Linked DNA regions of Danio rerio. The protein of the gene in region 2 purifies or fractionates together with the protein of the main gene of each other region. This does not show direct contact. Links are inferred from orthologs where the notes say so. Each region holds a gene or a part of one and is shown on either strand. Other genes may lie near its edges. The genes, in order: atf3 and junba.

Evidence for each region.
Region 1: the proteins of junba (region 2) and atf3 purify together in Homo sapiens (affinity purification with mass spectrometry; 3 studies listed by BioGRID and IntAct, counting the BioPlex papers as one, with this or other methods). This does not show direct contact. The link is inferred for Danio rerio from reciprocal best matches to the Homo sapiens genes JUNB and ATF3.

The regions. Positions count from the first base shown.
Region 1 is NC_133195.1:41,072,262-41,082,912, reverse strand, and holds the start of atf3 (cyclic AMP-dependent transcription factor ATF-3), read right to left. Parts: upstream 5,690-10,651; 5' UTR 5,599-5,689; intron 3,725-5,598; 5' UTR 3,717-3,724; coding exon 3,474-3,716; intron 3,327-3,473; coding exon of another isoform or gene 3,286-3,326; coding exon 3,178-3,285; intron 1,488-3,177; coding exon 1,230-1,487; 3' UTR 1-1,229.
Region 2 is NC_133176.1:55,051,874-55,061,848, forward strand, and holds junba (junB proto-oncogene, AP-1 transcription factor subunit a), read right to left. Parts: upstream 5,730-9,975; 5' UTR 5,626-5,729; exon of another isoform or gene 5,505-5,625; coding exon of another isoform or gene 5,403-5,504; coding exon 4,527-5,402; 3' UTR 4,178-4,526; downstream 1-4,177. Other genes in the region: prdx2 (peroxiredoxin-2), read left to right, coding at 668-750. UniProt on the Homo sapiens protein: Transcription factor involved in regulating gene activity following the primary growth factor response. Binds to the DNA sequence 5'-TGA[GC]TCA-3'.

The DNA.
Region 1 (10,651 bases), on a different chromosome or scaffold from region 2:
AATGTTCAAAGTGCAAACCATATAAGAACGTTAATTCTGAAACAAGCATCAGGTAGTAATCTTTAAGAAAAGATTTTTCGCATATAAGAATTTGAGCACATATTAAATTGAACATTCAATTAATGTGATTCGACGAGTGTTTGTGCACAGCTTTAACATAAACTTGTTAGCTGAGAGTATAGCATCTACACAATAACAACACAACTACAATACATGAAAAATGTGACATCAGAAATAAACAAAAAACACTTTTTTTGAGTATGTGTGTGTGTGTGTGTGTGTGTTTGTGTTCACAGTGGACTGACAAATTCAGACCTTCCTGCTCACAGCATCGTAACAACATTGAGGTGGTAGCAGTGGCGAAGAACTTCCTTGTAAGTACCGTGCAGGACACCTTGTCATCTCCACGTCCACTTCCCTGTAATTTTATCTGTTTATTCAGTTTGTGTTTCCTGTATAATATATAGACCGAGTCCTGAGAGATTAGTAGCAGCTTGAAATACTTCTTGTGGCATGTTATGTGGACACATAATAACTATAAAGGGATAGTTCACCCAACAATGTACATTTACTCACCCTCAGATTGATCAGCAGTTTTTTTTTTCTGTTGAACTCCTAAGAAGGCATTTTGAAGACAGTTGGAATTCAGTAGCCATTGAACTAATAGGAAAAATGGCCATATACATTCTTCAAAATATCTTCTTTTGTGTTCAACAGAAGCAACAAGTAAGAAAATGTTCATTTTGAGCTGAAATATCCCTTTAACAAGGTAAAGGCCATAGATAAATATGTAACTGAACTTCATTCATCACCCTGTATATCTTGCCAAGAAATCAAAAACAAAAACACACATATATTCCCCTCACTAGAACAGCACTTGCCATCAAACACACACCGCCAGGGTTTCATTCAACAAACAAGCTGATAAATAAATGAAATCATGCTGTTCTAGCAGCAGCAACATGACATCAAGCTTTGGTGGTGCATACGAAAAACAAGCATATCATGTTAAACAGTACAATGACGAACACATTTAAATAACTAAGTGAAAACGCATTGAATGTCCTTCAACACTTTTAGTGCTTTTAGTCTCTTTCAGTGTACATCAGACCGACCTTAATTGGCAGCATGGCAGGCACCCGTGTTTAGTCCTTTTTTGTTTTTACTTGGGCAAACCTTCCAGTGTTCCTTGGCGAGCCGTTAGCTTGTTTGCCTGGAGAGTTTGTGATTCACAGATGCCCACAGCTGGTTGGTATGGCGGTGTGTGTTGGTCCATTGGTGGCAAAACCCAGCCCCTGGAGTGTGGATTCTTTGATTTGTTGGATGAAAAGCTTCTTCTCGTCTTCGGGGGTCTGGCCGTTCTGAGCGCGGACGATGCAGGTGGGCCTGTGCAGGTTGAGCATGTAAACAAGCTGCTGCTTTTGGTTCTTCAGCTCCTCGATCTGAGCTTTCAGCTCTGCATTGATGGACTCAAGCTTCTCAGACTCCTAAAGTCAAAACAAGAACATACATGAGTTTCTTGAGTTTTTAGAGCTTAATTGTGATTAATATAAAATAAAGAGGAAAACATAATTAAACTAATTAATTTAATTGGGCGCCAGTTAATTTATTTACTCAAAATAACCTGAAACAGTATCTGCGGGGTCTTAAGTCTTAAAATTCTTACATTTAAAAACCCAAATTTTAGGCCTTTAAAAGTCTTCAATCCACTAGCATTATTGTGTTGTAGGTCTTAAATCATTTTAAACGAGTCTTAATTTTTCTTTGTCTATGTAAATCTATACCTAATTGGGCCAACACCCACCCACCAACAATTTACATTAATAAAAGTTTTAAGAAACGTTTATCTATTAACTCAATTCACTAAATATGGTTTAATTATCTTCCTTACAATGACATTTGTTTTTAATGTTTTTTTTTTAAGGTTTTAACTTTTGTGTAAGTGTAAGTCGGAAATTTCATTTATTATGGTCTTAAAAAGTCTTAAATTTGACTTAATAAAACCTGTAAAAACCCTGTTGAAAGTGTGATAAATGTGTAATTGTCATAGACAAAGCAAAAAAATATTGTGTCATTTTATTTATTTATTTAATGTTTTATTTTTACTGCCTTTCCCAGAGATGGGTTGCAGCAGGAAGGGCATCCACTGCGTAAAACATGTGCTGGAAAAGGTGGTGGTTCATTCCGCTGTGGCAACCCATGAATAATTAAGGGACTAAGCCGAAAAGAAATTAGAGAAATTAAACTTTTTTTTATCTGGCTTTAATGTTTGAATCACGTGAGTTTTATTGTTAACAACAGCTGTCAGAGTTTTTATTCAATATTATTATTTTCACTTCTAATTTCATATAATATTTATACACACCAAGTACACATAAACTATGTTGGATGTGATAAATAACCATTAATTCTTCGACAGCACTAATAAATATATAGCATGACTTATTAACATAATATAAAAAACTCTATAATGAACTTTATAGTTCAGAACTTTTTTTAAAGACTATTTTAACTTTATTTACTCCATCTATACTAGGTACAGTTGAAGTCAGAATTATTGGCCCCGTTTAATATTTCCCCAATTTCTGGTTAATGGAGAGTTTACACATTTCTAAACATAATAGTTTTAATAACTCATTTCTAATAACTGATTTATTTTATCTTTGCCATGATGACAGTAAATAATATTTGACTAGATATTTTTCAAGACACTTCTATACAGCTTAAAGTGACATTTAAAGGCTTAACTAGGTTAATTAGGTTAACTAGGCAGGATAGGGTAATTCGGCAAGTTATTGTATAATGATGGTTTGTTCTGTAAAAAATATAGCTTAAAGGGGCTAATAATTTTGACCTTAAAAATGTTTTTTTTAAAAATTAAAAATGCTTTTATTCTACTCAAAATAAAACAAATAAGACTTTTTCCAGAAGAAAAAATACTATCAGACATACAGTAAAAATTTCCTTGCTCTGTTAAACATCATTTGTAAAATTAAAAAAACATTAATTAATTAAAGGGGCCTAATAATTCTGACTTCAACTGTAGATGTAATAGATATAATGTAATCAAATACAGTTAAAAATAGCAAAAAAGATCAATAATAAAAAATAACAGATATAATATATGTTCATATAAATGTTACGTTTTTTAATCAAATGCTAAATAACAAGTAATACCTTTTGTAAATTATCGGTTTTCTCCTTTTTCTTGTTCCGACATTTTGCTGCTGCAATTTTGTTTCTTTCCCTTCTTCTTTTCCTTCGGTCGTTCTCCTCTGGGACAGCCTGAAATAACAACATCTAACAATTTGGGAAAGCCAAACTACCTAAAATGCCCACAAGTGGATGAACAAGTGAATTGTGCAAGCATGGCTTTTCTACGTCCACGTTACTCAATATAACCAATGTGAAATATGAGAAATTACACTTAAAAAAAAAAAAAACATTTGTGCCAGTAAATGAGTGGGTCTTACCTCTCGCTTCATCCCAGGTAGTTCGGTGGGTCTCTCAGTGTTCATGCAGGCTCTGTCAGTGGTCAGGGTGCTCATGCCGTTGGACATGCGTTTGTTCTGGATGGCGTAGCGCAGCTCCTCTTTCACTAATGGAGTGAAGTTTGTGAAGTCGTCCAGCGTGAGGGAGCCGGGCGGAGAGAGACAGGGAACCAAAGCTGATGCACTGATCTCTGACGGACCCAAACCAGGGTGCTGAAGCATCATGCCGAAATCTAAAAAAATACAAAACAACAGTTAAATCATGATGTTAACGAGGAAAATGGTAAGATAGATAAATAAATAAACAAGTAAAAATGTTACACCTTTCTCTATAAAACTACTGAAATAACTGTGTTATAGTTAGAAAATGATTAAGAACATCAGATTTATAGAGTAAGACCCATTAATTAAATTGTAACAAAAACAACATTTAAAAATGATCATTAAATATTGTATTTTAGAAATAAAAGTGTTTAATTGCATAATGTTATAATTATATACCATCAGTTATAATTTGTTAATAATAATAAACTATATAAACAATAGTTATACAGTTATTGTAATTAAAATATATATTCCTTGTTAAATATTATTGTCATTTATGATATTTATATAAATATTACATTTAACAAGGTGATTAATATAATATTAAATTCATTAAATGATATGCATTTTAAAGTGATAAGTGATTTTAAGTAATAAGAGATTTTAAAGTGATAAAGTTTTGATTAAGGGAGAATATTGTAGTCACAAGTTCTTGTGTTGTTAAATTTTGTTATGTTACGTTTATGGTTTATGTTTTTAAAGTTTTTATATTATATTATATTATATTATATTATATTATATTATATTATATTATATTATATTATATTATATTATACAGACACAACTGGCTAATAAAAGGCTAGATATCATGAGCAGAAAGTAATTTGGCTAACAATTTTTACCACATGTCATTCTCAATCAATCTTACAATGACAACCGTAATTTAAAAGCTCCCAGCTTCCACAGCTGTCAATATATATATATTTTTTTACAGTGACGTATTATAGATGTTTTACTCTCTTTACACAGTATATCGCTTTTTTTGTCATAAACACTCATTTTAACACACTTTTTTGTTATTTTATGTGTATGACTAGACAGGAATACATAAAGTAACGACTAGCTAACAGAATAATCTAAACCCATCAAATATTAATGAACAATTTCATATTAATAATAATATTTTAAACATTTGACTGACAGGTTTGTAGTACAGTGTAAAATAGTAAAGTTATAATCTTTAACTATTTAATGAGTTGTATTCGTATCAATCGGTTTTAATCCTTTTTAAAGGAATAAATAATGTAAATAAACATTAACGTTACCATTCAATTATAGATAGAAACTGTACAACTTACAATTATTAAAGTGCAATCTTACTCGTTACATTATTACAGTATTTATAGGGGTTTTCATAGGTTCTGGCTACCACAGCTGTCAATATTTTGCTTTTACAATGACGTATTATAGACGTTTTGCTCTCTTTATACAGTATGCTATCGCTTTTTTTTGTCATAAACATTCATTTCAACAAACGTTTTGCTAATGTATGTGTACTACTGTACAAATACATTATAGCCTACAGTAACAACTCGCAAACAGAATAATCTAAACCATCAAATATTGATTAAGAACCTTATTAGTCCTAATATTTTAACATTTAAGTGACAGGTTTTCAATACAGAGTAGGCTATATGAAATCATAATCTTTAACTATTTCATGAGTTGTATTCGTGTTACACATTGTCGATGAAGTAAACTTACTGACGTAACATTGTCGGTTAAACAATTTGAAAACAGGAGAACTTAAATCAATCAGTTTTAATCCAATTTTAATAAATATCGAACAAATATTAACGCAAAAAAACAGTAATGCACATACATTATAGCTAAATAAAAGTTCGTTAAAAAAGAGTTCGTTAACTCAAACCTAAATACAATCGCTTGACCCATAAACGCAAAAATCTCCCTTTAGTAGCCCAAACCAAGCACACCATAGACGTTTTCCCACAGCGTGTTCCAGAATAGCGATGAATAGGAAATCTACAATGCCGTCTCTTACCTGGTTGTGTGTAAATAAATGTAGGCGCGTGTGTTTGTGATGCTCTCCTGATGCCGGACTGTTCTCGCGCTCAGCTGCTAAAGTTACAGTTGTCGCCGGCTCGTTGCATCACCCCTTTTTATGGCTGGAGGACGTGAACTACTACTAGGGGCGGGGCGAGTGACGTCACCCTATTTATAGCATCAGCGGCGCTGTCCTTTCGCGATGATGCAATCAGGCAACCCTCTCCGCCGCGCACCATAACTGGGCAAACTCCCGCCCTCCCTCACAATAGTGAAGCTGACGAGCTGGCATGTTAACCTAATGAGCAAATAAAGACATATACTCGTGTAATGACAGGCCATCTCTGGTATGCTCTAATGTCATGTGCCGAATAGTTTTGAAAAAAGAGATATGAGAAAGAGAGAGAGTTTGACTGACTGACTGACAGACTGTCTGCTTGGTTTGAAAGAGAGCATATAAAATCCCTCTTGGTCTGTTAAGTTAAAAACACTTAGCCTATGTTTTCTTGTTTATGTCTTTTTTTTATTAGTATTTTTATGAAGAGATGGAGAGATGAAGCCAAGGTCAGTGTGTATATGGCTGTTTTTTTAAAAGCTTTAAATTTGGTTTTAAATGTCCACTGGCTCAGGGAAAAAACAGCTTTGAATATCTTTTATGGCGTTTGAATTTAGTTGGTTTGTTTCTGACTGAATTTAGGATTTTATCATTTAATAATAATTTAATTATTGTTATGTAATATTGTAACATGACATTTAGAGGTTTTCAGTTTTTAGAGGGTTGAATATTTGAGTGTATTCAACTTTAAAAGTTTAATTCGATTTATTACACTTTATTTGAGCATCCTTGTTACTTTTAATTATACATTATATCAAGTACTGAGTAAAATTAATTTAAGGTTCATTTTATTTGCAAATAATTATGCATTTAATTTATTTTTAGGCATATTCTGTCTAAAAAGAACACTAAAACAAATCTATCTATAAATATTATCTATCTATCTATCTATCTATCTATCTATCTGTCTGTCTGTCTGTCTGTCTGTCTGTCTGTCTGTCTGTCTGTCTGTCTGTCTGTCTGTCTGTCTGTCTGTCTGTCTGTCTGTCTGTCTGTCTGTCTGTCTGTCTGTCTGTCTGTCTGTCTGTCTGTCTGTCTAAACTAATAAGTTGGTGGATATGAGTAAGTTTTTTTCTTAATTAGTTTTGGTACATCTAATATGTAACAAAACACTATAAAATAAAAGTTTGCTTAATAAATATATAGTAAAATTAGTGATAGGCTTGTTATCTTTCTCATGTTTTTCTATTTCACTTTCCTTTCAATTCAATATTTAACGCAGTGATTTGGTGATGTTTTAAGGGAGTGGGTCGTCAGCAGTGTCTGCATTCCTCTTTTCAATGTGAAGCACAGCTTTCTTGCCGTAGCTGTTCATTATTACACAGCCCAGTCCACACTCTTTCCTATGTGTTCTGGAAATTTCCAGTAATCTCTCCTCACCGTCCTGGTGCAATCACCAATAAAACACTCCTTTATTACATACATTTGTGCTTGGACACTAAATAATGTTACCAAGGAGTCGTGTCTAAACATGACACAAAGTCCAAACAAGTATTTGTATTTCTCAAGAGAATAATAGGTCTGGTTTAAATCTGGGTTAATACTTCTATATGAACTATTATATAGCAAATTTGCTGTTGTTGTTTTGTTGATATCCACCAACATATGAGAATATATTATTTATTTTATTATATGAAGAAGTTTTTCATTTATTATCTATTTTTACTTATTAGCTAATAGGAAAAGTCAAAAATAGATATTAACAACAAACCACATATACTAATATCTGAAAACATTAAAAAATAAAGATATAACGACCCCAAAATACAAGGTAGGACTAAAGAAATATGTTTATTATATTTTCCATTCTTATTTTATTTATTATTTTTATTTATTTATTTATTACTTTTAATTATATGAAGAAGTTTTTTTTTCTATTTTTACTTATTATCTATTAGGAAATGTCAAAAATGGATATTAACAACAAACCACATACACTTATATCTGAAAACATAAAAAATAATGATATAATGACCCCAAAATGTACAAGAGAGATTCTTTTCTTATTTTTTCTTATATTTTTATTCATTATTTATTTATTTATTGTAACTAGAAAATCACCTTGATTCTAGCTGGTTATTAATCATAAAAAAAACAAAAATGAAAAAGCAAACGGCTAAGAAACGGGAAGTTATTTAGTTCTGAGAAAAGCTCTTGCAACATTTGCAACATGCTTTGATTTTAATTGCCCAATACTATCAAATATTTTTTTTTAAACATGGATTTTTTGTACAAAAGTTTCTAACATTTTATGAGATATATTTTTTCGATAGTCTACAGCACAAACCATCTTTATACAATAACTTGTCTAATTACCCTAACCTGCCAAGTTACCCTAATTAACCCAGTTAACCCTTTAAATGTCACTTTTAGCTGTATAGAAGTGTCTTGAAAAATATCTAGTATAATATTATTTACTGTCATCATGGCAAAGATAAAATAAATCGGTTATTATAAAGGAGTTATTAAAACTATTATGTTTGTGTTGAAAAAAAATTTATCTCCCTTACAAAGAAATTGGGGGAAAAAATAAACAGGGAGCTAATAATTCAGGGGGTTTAATAATTCTGACTTCAACTGTATGTGTTCAGCCATAGCGGACATACGTGGCCCCGTGCGAATGATCTATATCTAAAACAGTACACAGAGCTTAATATAGCAGTATATTACCCATCTTATCATCTCTTTATCATATCTGGCAGGGCAGAGTCACGTCATAGAGTTCATCGTATGAAGTCAAACAGGTGTTTGAATGCCCGCAGCCATTTTCTGTCTGGGATACATGGATACAGCTGTTATGATGTCAATATTGACCTGTTAGCTATTAATACACTAGAAGTTTCAGGAGAAGTGATTTCACTTTTCCATCTGTTACTTGTTGATTGTTGTCTGTCTGTCAACAAAAATGTGCCAAGTTTGAGTTTAGGAACAGAAAGATAACGGTGTGTAAACAGCAGAGTTTGCATTTCCCTCACTTTCTTTTTGATGCAAAGATTTTTTTTTGTTTCATTTTGACTCAACTGTCTGTATCTTTATTGTTGGTCTAATCTGATTTTCGACAAGAAAACATGGTCACGTTTTAAAAGAGAAGTCATTTGCTAAACTTTAAAAAATCATTTGATCAATTAGTCCTGACAGCATATGTTTTTAGTTCATTGTAACTTCATAAACTAAGCTAATCATGTTCTAGCTTAATTGTATAAGTTATTAAGCTGTTTTAAGTCAGTTTAACATAATATCAGTTCAATTGACTCATGAATTTGATTCAGCTTAACAATTTAAGGCAACCAGGATTTTTTTACAGTGTATTTCTGCATCACGGATTGATTTAAATTATATTTTAACTGATTTAAATATGTGTATATGAATACATTTGAGTGTATATTAGAATATACACTTTAAAAGATTCAAATATGTGTACATTTATATAAAGCAATAATTCGTGTAAATATAAAAATATACATGAATATTAACTATATAGCGAAATTGCTGTTGTTGTTTTGTTGATATCCATCAACATATGGGATTTTTTTTTTAAGTTTAAAGCAATAAATACATTTGAGTAAATATTAAAATATACATTTTAACTGATTCAAATATGTGTACATATATATTTATGAAGCAATAGATACATTTGTGTTTTATGTACACTCTACTCTGTAAAACCCAAAAAGTTAGGGTAACTAAAACCATTTCAGAAAACCGATTGCAACAAACCATTTAAGTTCAAAAACTGAGTACTGTGAACTTACTCCATTTGAGTAAACGAGGCAATTTGAGCAAAGTAAAACCTAATAAATGAAGAGAGCTCAACCCAACTGGGTACTGTAAAACTATACTGTAAAACTTCAGCCTACTCAAACTATTTGAGGAAACCCATACAAACCATTTGAGTTAAAAATCTAATGTATATGAGTACTGTGAGCTCTATAAGTTGAAGTAATGAGGTAGTCATGTAGAATTAATTAACTCATTACCTTTAACAGTGAGCTCAAAACTCTTTTCAAATGAGTCGATTTAACATTCAGTAAATTCTGAGTCAACTACACTCATTTCATTGTAAGAAATGCTGAGTTATTTAAACTAAAATTGGCCAAAACGTGGACAAACTCAAACATTGAGTTTAATTTAGTCCTATAAATCTAATAAAAAAAAACAACAACCCAGCAGCTGTGTTCTGTAACACACCCACAGTTGGGTTGAAATAACCCTGCTTTTTTAGAGTGTATATTGCTTCATATACTGTATCTACACACATATCTTTCAGTTGATTTTAGCTGTGCATCCAGTATTAATATCTTCACATCTACCATAGTGATCATTAAATTTAACACTAAATTCTTACACCATATTCTGCAATTATATTAATCCTTTGTATAATTAATGCATTGTGATATGTTCTATAATATTGGGAGCATGTTATTAAGATTAAAGACGTGGACGCAAGTTCAGAATTTAATCATTAAAATGAATAGAATTACGTAGTTCTGTATGGTTGGGATTTTATCATGTCTTGCATTTGGTTTCAGTTTTATTTTGAAAAGGAATTTATGTGTTTATCTTTTACTTTTGTTTACAAGTCTTTAGTGTAATTCAACAAGCATCATAAACATCATAATTATCGAAACCAAGTATGCAAAATATGCACAAACTGTGTCTGTTCTGTTTATGGCATTTACGTTTGTCTAAAATAAAATACAATGAAATAAAATATATTGGTGAACAATAGCAAGGCTTGTAGATTTACTAAGTACATTGTAATAAGTACAAAAGTGAAAACTTTAGAGATATAAATAAGTTTATAATAAATATTTCTTAATTGTGTCTGTACTTTATATATAAGTATATTTCGTGTAGCACTTTCTGGCAAATACAAATATGCTAGCATTTTGAGTAAGCAGAGTTTTAAGATTAAAAGAATACCAGTTGGTTGTTT
Region 2 (9,975 bases):
TTCTATTTAATGGCGTATATGCGGAAGGACTTTTAATTTGTCAGTAAACTGGGTTAAGCACTATCAGGTTGTTAAAGTGGCCAACTGTGGTATTGGTAACCTAGCAACCAAAAGTAAACAAAGCATAATGGAGACAGCTGACTGGTCACATGACTGTAATGCTCAATACGTCAAGAATTTGTTCATTTCATCTCGCATTATTTGAATTAACATCTTAATTCCTCTGGTTCATGCAAAATTTAACTTGGAGTCTTGTCAGATTTTTATATTTCTGTTGTTTTTTTTTTCAGAATTTTTTTTTTTTTGTATATTTAAAAAAAAAATTGGGAATCTGAATCATCCAAGAAAATTGCTATCGGTGCTAGTTTTTCTTCAATGATCATGTGACTGTGAAGACGACAATGATGCTGAAAATCCTGCTTTGCGAGACAGAAATAAGTTTAAAACATTTGAATAGAAATCAGTTATTTTTAATTGAAGTATGAAAGTTTTTTTTTGCATTTAATATTCGTAAGTTCAGCTTTGTGAACATTATACAAATATTTAAAGAACAGTAGAAATCTTAAAGACTCCCTACTTTTTGAACTGTAACTGATGTAATACTTTATGCATGACACAAGAGGGCGCCAAAATCACTTATTATAACTTCTTATGCTTTCTCCTTTAGTTTGTCCTGCTGGATGGAAGCCAGGAAGTGACACCATCGTTCCCGACGTGCAGAAGAGCAAGGAGTTTTTCTCCAAGCAGTAACAGTCTCTATTTCTGCATTCACTGGGCTGTTGAAGCACTTAAATTCAGCCTGAGGGGGTCTAGAAAAGTTGATTTAGCCATCGTAACAAACACAGGTTAAATGCACTAGTTAGTCTGATTTCTGTCTGAAGAAGCCGTTTCAGCCCGCGTCTCTCATGCACTGAAATATCTGTAGTTTGTGTTCAGCTAGTTAGTCTGCATTGCATATTTGGTACTCTGTGAACATAGCTGGTTTTAAATTCTCTCAAGTTGTTGGCATTCTGGTGATTTTGTCAATATCTCTGTTAAATAAACAGGCTGTTATTGCTGAATGTTGCAGTTGTCTTATTGTGCTTGCTACTTAATGGATGGTTGACCTCAAATTAAACATTTAATTAGTTTAGAAGGTATGGTAATGGCATGGTAAACCGAATTTTAAATGCAGAAGGACACAGTAGTGTTTTCTTCATGTTTTAATATTAGAATTATAATAGATGGAACAGAATTTGAGAGATAAATGCATATCATGAAATTGCATGATAATTCATGAAACTAAACCTGCGAAAACAAATTTAATAAATAGGCAAAAATTAAATGAGTAAATAAATCAATAAATTCTTGCATAAATAAAACCTTAAATAAATATCCAAATGAGTGTATTTTAAAATTTTTTTTAAAAATGTTGCATAAATAAATATTGAAATGAATAATAGTGTGGGTATGGAGAACAAAACCTGCAAAACAATAAAGAAATATGCAAATAAATGAATAAATAAATACATACACATTCCTGCATAAATAAAACAATAAATAAATACCTACGCAAACAAATATTTATTCTTGCATAAATAAAACATTAAATAAATACACAATTAAATGTATAAAATCTACAAATTTGTGCATAATTAATAGTAGTTTGAAAGGGGGAGAAATCCACGTTCAGTTAAGCATTTTCTTATTCCCCCAACATCTGTGTAATTTATTTTTAATCTGCCTGTACTATTTAAACAATTATTTATGCAGGAATTTGTGTTTTATATACATTAAGTTATTTTTTGGATATTTATTAATTTATTGCTTTGTTTATGCAGGAATTTATTAATTTATTTACTTATTTATTTGGCTAGTGTTTTATTTAGGCAGGACTTTGGGATAAATTTGCATATTTATTGATTTATTGTTTTATTTATGCAGGAATTTGTGGATTTATTATTTAGTTAATTTGCTATTTATTTTTTATTTTATTGTTTTTGCAGGTTTCTCCCTTTCTCCCTCCATAGTATCTTATATAATATTATAATTCAATTAATAGTATAAATATACATTTTACCACCCCTATAACGGTTCATACCATTGTGAAGGCAAGCGCGCCAAACACTCTGTGAGGAAAAAACATTCACTCGACGATAGTCTGAAACTGGCAGGTCTTCAGCAGCTACAGACATCGTAAGTGTTTAAAAGACACTTGTTTTAAGTAGAATATATGTTTGTGTCTGTATATAACTTAAAACTAAAGTCAATTGAGTTATATAGATTGACCTAAAGTAACCCCTGAAACGACTAATCGAGTCACTATAAGTTAGAATACGCTAAATATCCTTTAAAACACTGAAGACTTATGTTTTATTATTAAAATATACGTAATTAAAATGAATATATAAAACATATATTATTATATAAATATATAAAACAGACATTTGATTCACTGAAGCGTGTAATACGCTATCGAACATAGGCCTAAATGATTCACACCCTGATTAAAATGCTTGTTTAAGAATATAAAGTTATTAAGATTAAAGGTAGCAGGCGAAGTCAAACGTATTTTCTCTGATAATGACATTACAATATTTTTGGTGGAAGTCAAAATTAACAGAATATTAACAAATCTGCCCTGCAGGTGGCAGTGTTTCATTATAGTTAGGACAGAGTTACAGCTCTGGAGTCCTCATTGATTCAGCTGTAATGAAGCAGGAATCACTTTTCTACATAAACCCAAAACAATTTTAATAAATATTTGGCAAATCTCGTGTTCAGGACTGAGTGAATGTGTACTTGCTTAAACAAGTGATTCGTAAATTCTGTGGTTATTTTACACTGAATTTTAAACCAGCTCAGACATAAATAGTAATTTAGTTAATCTCCTAGAATTGTCTTTATTGCTTAAATCTGTAATTTTGTTTACAACATCCCCGTGTTTTCTTATTATTTAAAGGCCAGGGCTCATTTCTGTGTCCATGAAAAAGGTAAATTCTGCCTTAATAAAATGTTATACTTTTTTTTTTTTTTTTTTAAATATAACAGATATTATAATATAAAGTGTGCCGTGTTATTATCCTGTCATCTCAAGCTTTACCTTATTCATTCACTCATTTTCTTGTCTGTCTTGTCCCTTTGCTTTACCTTATTTAAAAATCTAAATGTTTATAACGTGTATTAGCTTGGTTTCAGACTATGGTGACAAAAATGACCACTACAAAACTAAAAAATATGCTAAAAATGTTAATTATTAACTTCATATGTTGCCAGTAAAAATTCCTGGGTTTAAAATGTTGACTTGGCTCTTTAAAATGAAAGGCTATTTTATAATCTAGAAACTTTTAGATTGATCTTTATTGTGGAATAGGGTACTTTTCCAGATGATTTTGTAAAAGAAAATATAATAGGCAAGATGCCTTCTTTTAAGAAGAGATTTCTAACACTGCATCGCTGCGAAAACATTTGAAGTAGCTAAGTGAACTTTCTACGGCACAATTCAGTGTAGATGTGTGTTTATAGTCTGTGAGGAGGCTCGAAACAACCATTCATTCAACATCTGAAAGGTGTAATTAGCATAATGGACAAATAACCCTCTTTTTGTCACCTAAAATCTAAGTATTTTAGGAATTATTCAAATGAATTTAACATTTTAATAAAGGGTTGGCGTTTTTAATGGCCAGTTCGGCTAATCTACCGCCTGTGTGTTTTCGGGAAATAGCTGATAAAGGAGTCACTGTGGGCACTTCTCGTTTATAAGCCTTGCTCTTATATTTACTGAGATCTGTTTGTCTATTTTTGTGCTTGCGACGGCTCCGTTTTCTGCAAAGTACCTGGAAAATGCCCGTGCTCATATTTTTATCTCTAGTTTTCTTTTCGCTGAAACTGTTTTGGGAAGGTTTGTGCGCGCGGGGAAAATCCCGCGTTGCTAAATTTTCTCTCGTTCACACGCGCTCCATTCATCGAACGTCAGAGTTGAAAGCGCGCGGACTTCCTGACCGGTAGCGTGGGCGGGGGTTCCCGAAATCTACCCTTAGTGACGTACATAGACCAAAACTGCCCATATATGGGCCTTGCGTCAGCAGGAAAAAAAAAGCCAACGTGGGCACGTCTTCGACGTAACTTTAAAGCCGTAGGCTACAGAATAAACTTTGTTTCTGCTCTACGCTTGAAATAAACAACCCAAACAGTAGAATCATTTTCAACATTTTTACTTAAATATAAAAAATAAACAAAAACAAACAAACAGAAAAACAGTTAAAGGTCTGGCTCAACCTGACTCACAATATCAATAACTTACTGGAATGTTTTCAAAGGGCAGCACTTAACAACAAAACCAAAACTGTTCACTTCAAAAGTTTAGTCCATTGTCCGTTCGGCTGAAAGTACCTTATCTTTGGAAAACAACAATAACATTAAAGTTTTCTACAAGAAAACACTTAAGAAATATACAACGCTCGTACTCAGTGCTGCGACAATAACATCATCACAAACAGGATCTGCTCTTCCAGTGTTTCCCAGAGTCCGTAGCATCCCTCTCCCCCCTAAAACGACTTGATCTTCGGCGTCAGCATCAGCTGGCACCCGCTGCTCACATGGGTCATGACCTTCTGCTTAAGCTGAGCTACCTGCTCCCTCAGCAGGGACGCAGTGCTGGACAGTCCGGCGTTATCCGACTTGAGCACTTTCACTTTGTCCTCCAGCCGGGAGATGCGCTCCAGCTTCCGTCGCCGGCACTTGGTGGCCGCCAGTCGGTTCCGGAGCCTCTTGCGCTCCGCTTTGATGCGCTCCTGGTCCTCCATGTCGATGGGCGACATGGGAGGAGAACCATCGCTGCTCTGCAGGTCGGGGACGGTCTGTGGCTCCTCTTTCAGAGTAACGAGCCGCTGCGGATGGAGCGAGTGCTGGAAGTGATGAGGATGCGGCGTGGGCTGGTGGTGATGGTGGTGGTACTGCTGGTGGTGGTGATGGTGAGGCAGGTAGCTGATGGTGGCTGTCGGGTAGTTGGCTGCAGGTGTGAGGTTAGTGTTAGGATTGCAGCTGTTCAGGGTGGTGTACACCGGAGTCTCGGGCGGTAAGGAGGCGCCGAAGACTGACGACGCCACCGAACAACTCGACACCCCGGGGGCTCCGATGGACACGTTCGGCGGGGGCATTTGGTTCATTTTGTGGAGCTCGTCCAGCGCTTTGACGAATCCGTCCGCGAAGCCCTCTTGCTCCTCTGTGATGCTCCGACCGTACAAATACTGCCCCGGCGTGGGTGATGTGATGACGCCGTTACCGTTCTGGATGATGAGTCTCTCTAGCTCCGGAGAGGCGAGTTTCAGCGAGCCCACGTCTCCGGTCGCCGCCGTGTAGAAGTCGCTTTCGGAGCGGAGGGTCTTGAGGTTCCGGTAGGGTTCGGCGAAGCTCACGCTCATGTTCTGCTTTAGGAGCTTGTAGTCGTGCAGGGCAGCGTCTGGATGACCATAAGCAGAAAGAAACGAGTCGTCATAAAACGGTTGCTCCATTTTTGTTGACATGTGAACAGAGATTACGTTGGGACGTACTGAAGCTGACTAAAGTCCGCAAGTTCTCTCCGTTATATTACATCAGGCAAAAGAGAGCAAAAAAAGAAGAAACTTCCAAAATAGTTTACTGTACCAATTCGACAGGTGTTTTCTCTCGACAGCTGACGTCCAAAAAGTGTCTTCCCAGACGGTTATTTACAAACAGCTCTTCTGGCCCGTCGCGCATTCAGTATCATGATAAGTGCGCCTTCATTCTTATATACTCCAAATGCTGAGGGCGTGGCTGAGATAATCGCGGCCGCTGATTGGACGAGAGTTCGTTCCGCTCCTCGAGCTGTCAGATGGGTTGATGACGTTGTTGCCAGTAAGCGCTGAGATTGAAAACAACGCTGGAGGCGAGAGAGCAAAGGGAGACCGAGCGCTGCGCTCCTATTTTTGTTTCCACAGACAAGAAGCAAAAACTGGCCGCAATAGCTCGGCACTTTTAAGAAAAGTTTCCCATGGCCATGAAAACAGAAACACTACTGTGGTCTCTTGAGAAAAACACTACGTTAGAGGATGTCGTGTGAATAATAATAATAAACATTCTTGTCGAAATGGAAACAAAAGGTTCCAACACAATACTGTGATCTCCGTAGATCTGAAGCAGAATATACGAGGAGCTCTTTAATATAAACGAAATTGGAATTTATTTTAAATGTCAAGCTCTAAATATATTCCTTTAATTTAGGTGGAGCATCTAAACTGGCCATTTAAGTAAATACAGGATTGCAGGATTGAGATTGGGGGATTTCAGCCCAAGTTAAATGTGTCTGAGCTACCACATCATCTCGTCAATGATCAAGAGAAGCTCTATTAAAGGGTTAGTTCACCCAAGAGTTACAATTCTGTCATCATTTACTGACTGGATTCAAACCTTTCTTTATATGTTGAACACTGAAGAAGATATTTTGAGGAATGCTGGAAACCCATTGACTTCCATTGTGTTTGTTTTTCTTAACCGTTAGATTTTTTCAGCTTTCTTCAAAATATCTTCTTCATTGTTCAACATAAAAGTTTTGAAGCAAGTAAAAGGTGAGTAAATGATGACAGACATATAATTTGTGGGTGAACTATCCCGTTAATGTGCTTTATTGTTAAACATGCTAGGAAAGGCTATAGTGAGTAATATAAAAATAAAAGTAATTAAGAGAATATCTAATACAGATTCATACAAGGGCTTATCAGCTATTTGAATTGGACTGCTTTTTAAGTACTGAGTCATATAACACATAAAACATGACTAGTAATAATAATAGATCCTTCTCATAGAATTCACTGTAAATAAAAATGTGTTAATGAACAGTTACTGTATTTAGTGATTCACATGTGTGTTTTCTGTTTATTTATAGGTGTGAATTGCATTATGGGATGTTGATATCTGCTCTGTCGACTTTTAATGTTGAAAATTAAACTCTGCAGTTGAACAAAGTGACTTTTATTGACATTTTTGTCAACTTTATCAAATGAAATGAGTGGAGTTAACTCAAAATTCACTGAAAGTTAACTCTACACGTTCTTAACGTTTAGTTATTTCTTAAACCCAATGGTTGAGTTAAACATATTTGGTGCTTTGTTGGGTTATTTTTACCCTTTATTTGGTTATTTAATAATAACTCAACCAGTTGGGTAAATATTTGATGTTTTGTTGGGTTACGTTTAACCTTTATTAGGTTATTATATAATAACTCAACCAGTTTGGTAAATATTTGATGTTTTGTTGAGATATTTTTTAACCTTTATTAGATTATTTAATAATAACTCAACCAGTTTGGTAAATATTTGATGTTTTGTTGAGATATTTTTTAACCTTTATTAGATTATTTAATAATAACTCAACCAGTTTGGTAAATATTTGATGTTTTGTTGAGATATTTTTTAACCTTTATTAGATTATTTAATAATAACTCAACCAGTTTGGTAAATATTTGATGTTTTGTTGAGATATTTTTTAACCTTTATTAGATTATTTAATAATAACTCAATCAGTTGGGTAAATATTTGATGTTTTGTTGGGATATTTTTTAACCTTTATTAGATTATTTAATAATAACTCAATCAGTTGGGTAAATATTTGATGTTTTGTTAAGATATATTTGAACCTTTATTAGATTATTTAATAATAACTCAACTAGTTGGGTTAAAATTTTGAATTTCCACAGTCAACTGATTTAACTGACACAGAAGAGCTGTATTAATATGCGCAAGTAATGTTGTTTTTGCGTTGTGAAGTTTAAGCTGTAACATAATAATATTGTTATTTTTTATCAAATTACTCTCTGTGTCATGTTTTTTATATCAGTTTCACCTGCCATTCTTGCCTTTGGGACCCAGCGGAGAGATTCATTAATTTTCACAGCCATAGTTAGAAAATAAAAGTAGTACTTCAATAGTAATAGCAGAATGGAAAAAATAACATTTAATTAAAATAACCCAATGCTTTGGGTTAAAATAGCCCATAGTTGGGAAGGTGCTATAATAACCTATAGTTGATTTATATGTTGGGGTATTTTTAACCCAACTATTTTAACAGAGAACTCATTTGAAAATAGTTTTGAACTCAGGGTTGAAGGTAATGAGTTAATTAAATACCTCATTAATTCAACTTAAATGGAGTAAAGTGCTCATATTGATTTGTTTTTTAACTCAAATGGTTTGTAGCAATCAGTTTCTTCAAACGGTTTGAGTTGCCTTAACTCATTGAGTTTTGCAGTACTCAGTTGGTTTGAGTTCTCTTCATTTATTGGGTTTTACTGTGATCAAATTGCTTCGTTTACTCAAATGGAGTAAGTTCACAGTACTCATTAGGATTAGTTTTTGAACTCAAGTTTGTTGCAATAGGTTACCTTAAATGGTTTGAGTTACCTTAACTTTTGGGGTTTTACAGTGTAGTTTGAAATAATATAATGAATAAGAAATAATATATTGAGAGAAATAAATCAAAGAAAATGTACTGGCAGTTTATTACGAGGTTTTTGTAACACAATATACAACACCAACCCAGACAATATATCACTTTAAACTATTAGAAATGTTAATAAAGCCACTTGTTATGGCTAAAAGTTGTTGAAAGAAAGATCCCATAATGCAATTCAAAAGCTAAATATGTAGAAACATAAAAAAAGAAACTGCTGATGTTTTACACTAGAGATTTGTACTCTAAAGTATAACCTGTAAACATAACTCTGCATTGATCTGGAATGATCTGACTCAGGATTTGGCAACTGATATGAGTCCCATATATGGGCAAACCGCAGTGTAGTTCCTCCTTAGTGTAGGACCGGGAAACCTCTCCCATGTGGGCCTGATTCCAGCGGCGACGCCCCCGCACATGGAGCGCTGGAGGAGGGGAGAAGGCTGATAGATAGCAGCACGTACACAACACTCTGGCGCAAGAGTGTGAGATTCAGAGAGCACGTTCTTCATTTGTTCTTTATCTGTTCTTCATCTGACATATTAATGCAGACTGCATGTTAGTGTAGTTGTGCCGGTCTCTCAAACTTGATGCATGCACTCTTAAAAATAAAGGGGGATTTTCAGTGATGCTGGAATCATTTTGATAATAATTATAATGATACTATTGATAATAAAAGTGATGATGATGAGGATGATAATAGTGACAATATTAATGGTAAAAATATTAATAATATAAATATATAATATAGTAATATAACAGTTATAGTGATATAATAAGAATAGTGACCATAATAATATAGTGGTATTACTACTACTATTGACAATAATGAAAATAATATTAATAATATTAATATTAACAACAAAAAGTATTTTGAAAATAATATTAATAATAATAGTGCTAATAATAATAATAGTGTCAAATAATATTAATAATAATAGTGCTAATAATAATAATAATAATAATAATAATGATGATAAATAATATTAATAATAATACTGCTATTAATAATAATAATAATAATGACAAATAATATTACAAATAAAAGTGCTATTATTAATAATATTAATAATGACAAATAATATTAATAATAATAGTGCTATTAATAATAATAATAATAATAATAGCGACAAATAATATCATTAATAATAGTGCTATTAATAATAATAATAATAATAATAATAATAATGACAAATAATACAGACAAATAATATTAATAATAATAACAGCAACAATAATAACAACAACAATAATAGCAATAATAGTATTAAAATAACAGTTATCATATATTAATAATAATAATAGTGAAAATGATAATAATAATATTAGCAACAACAAAAGAATAACAACAATAAAAGTGATAATAATATTAAAATAATAGTAATAATATGCTAATAATAATATAAACAATAATGTCAACAAAGATAATAATGACAACAATATTAGTGATGATAATGTTGATAATAATAATAGCAACAACGATCATAATAAAAGCAATAATAGTGATAGTAATGTTAAAAATAATAGTAA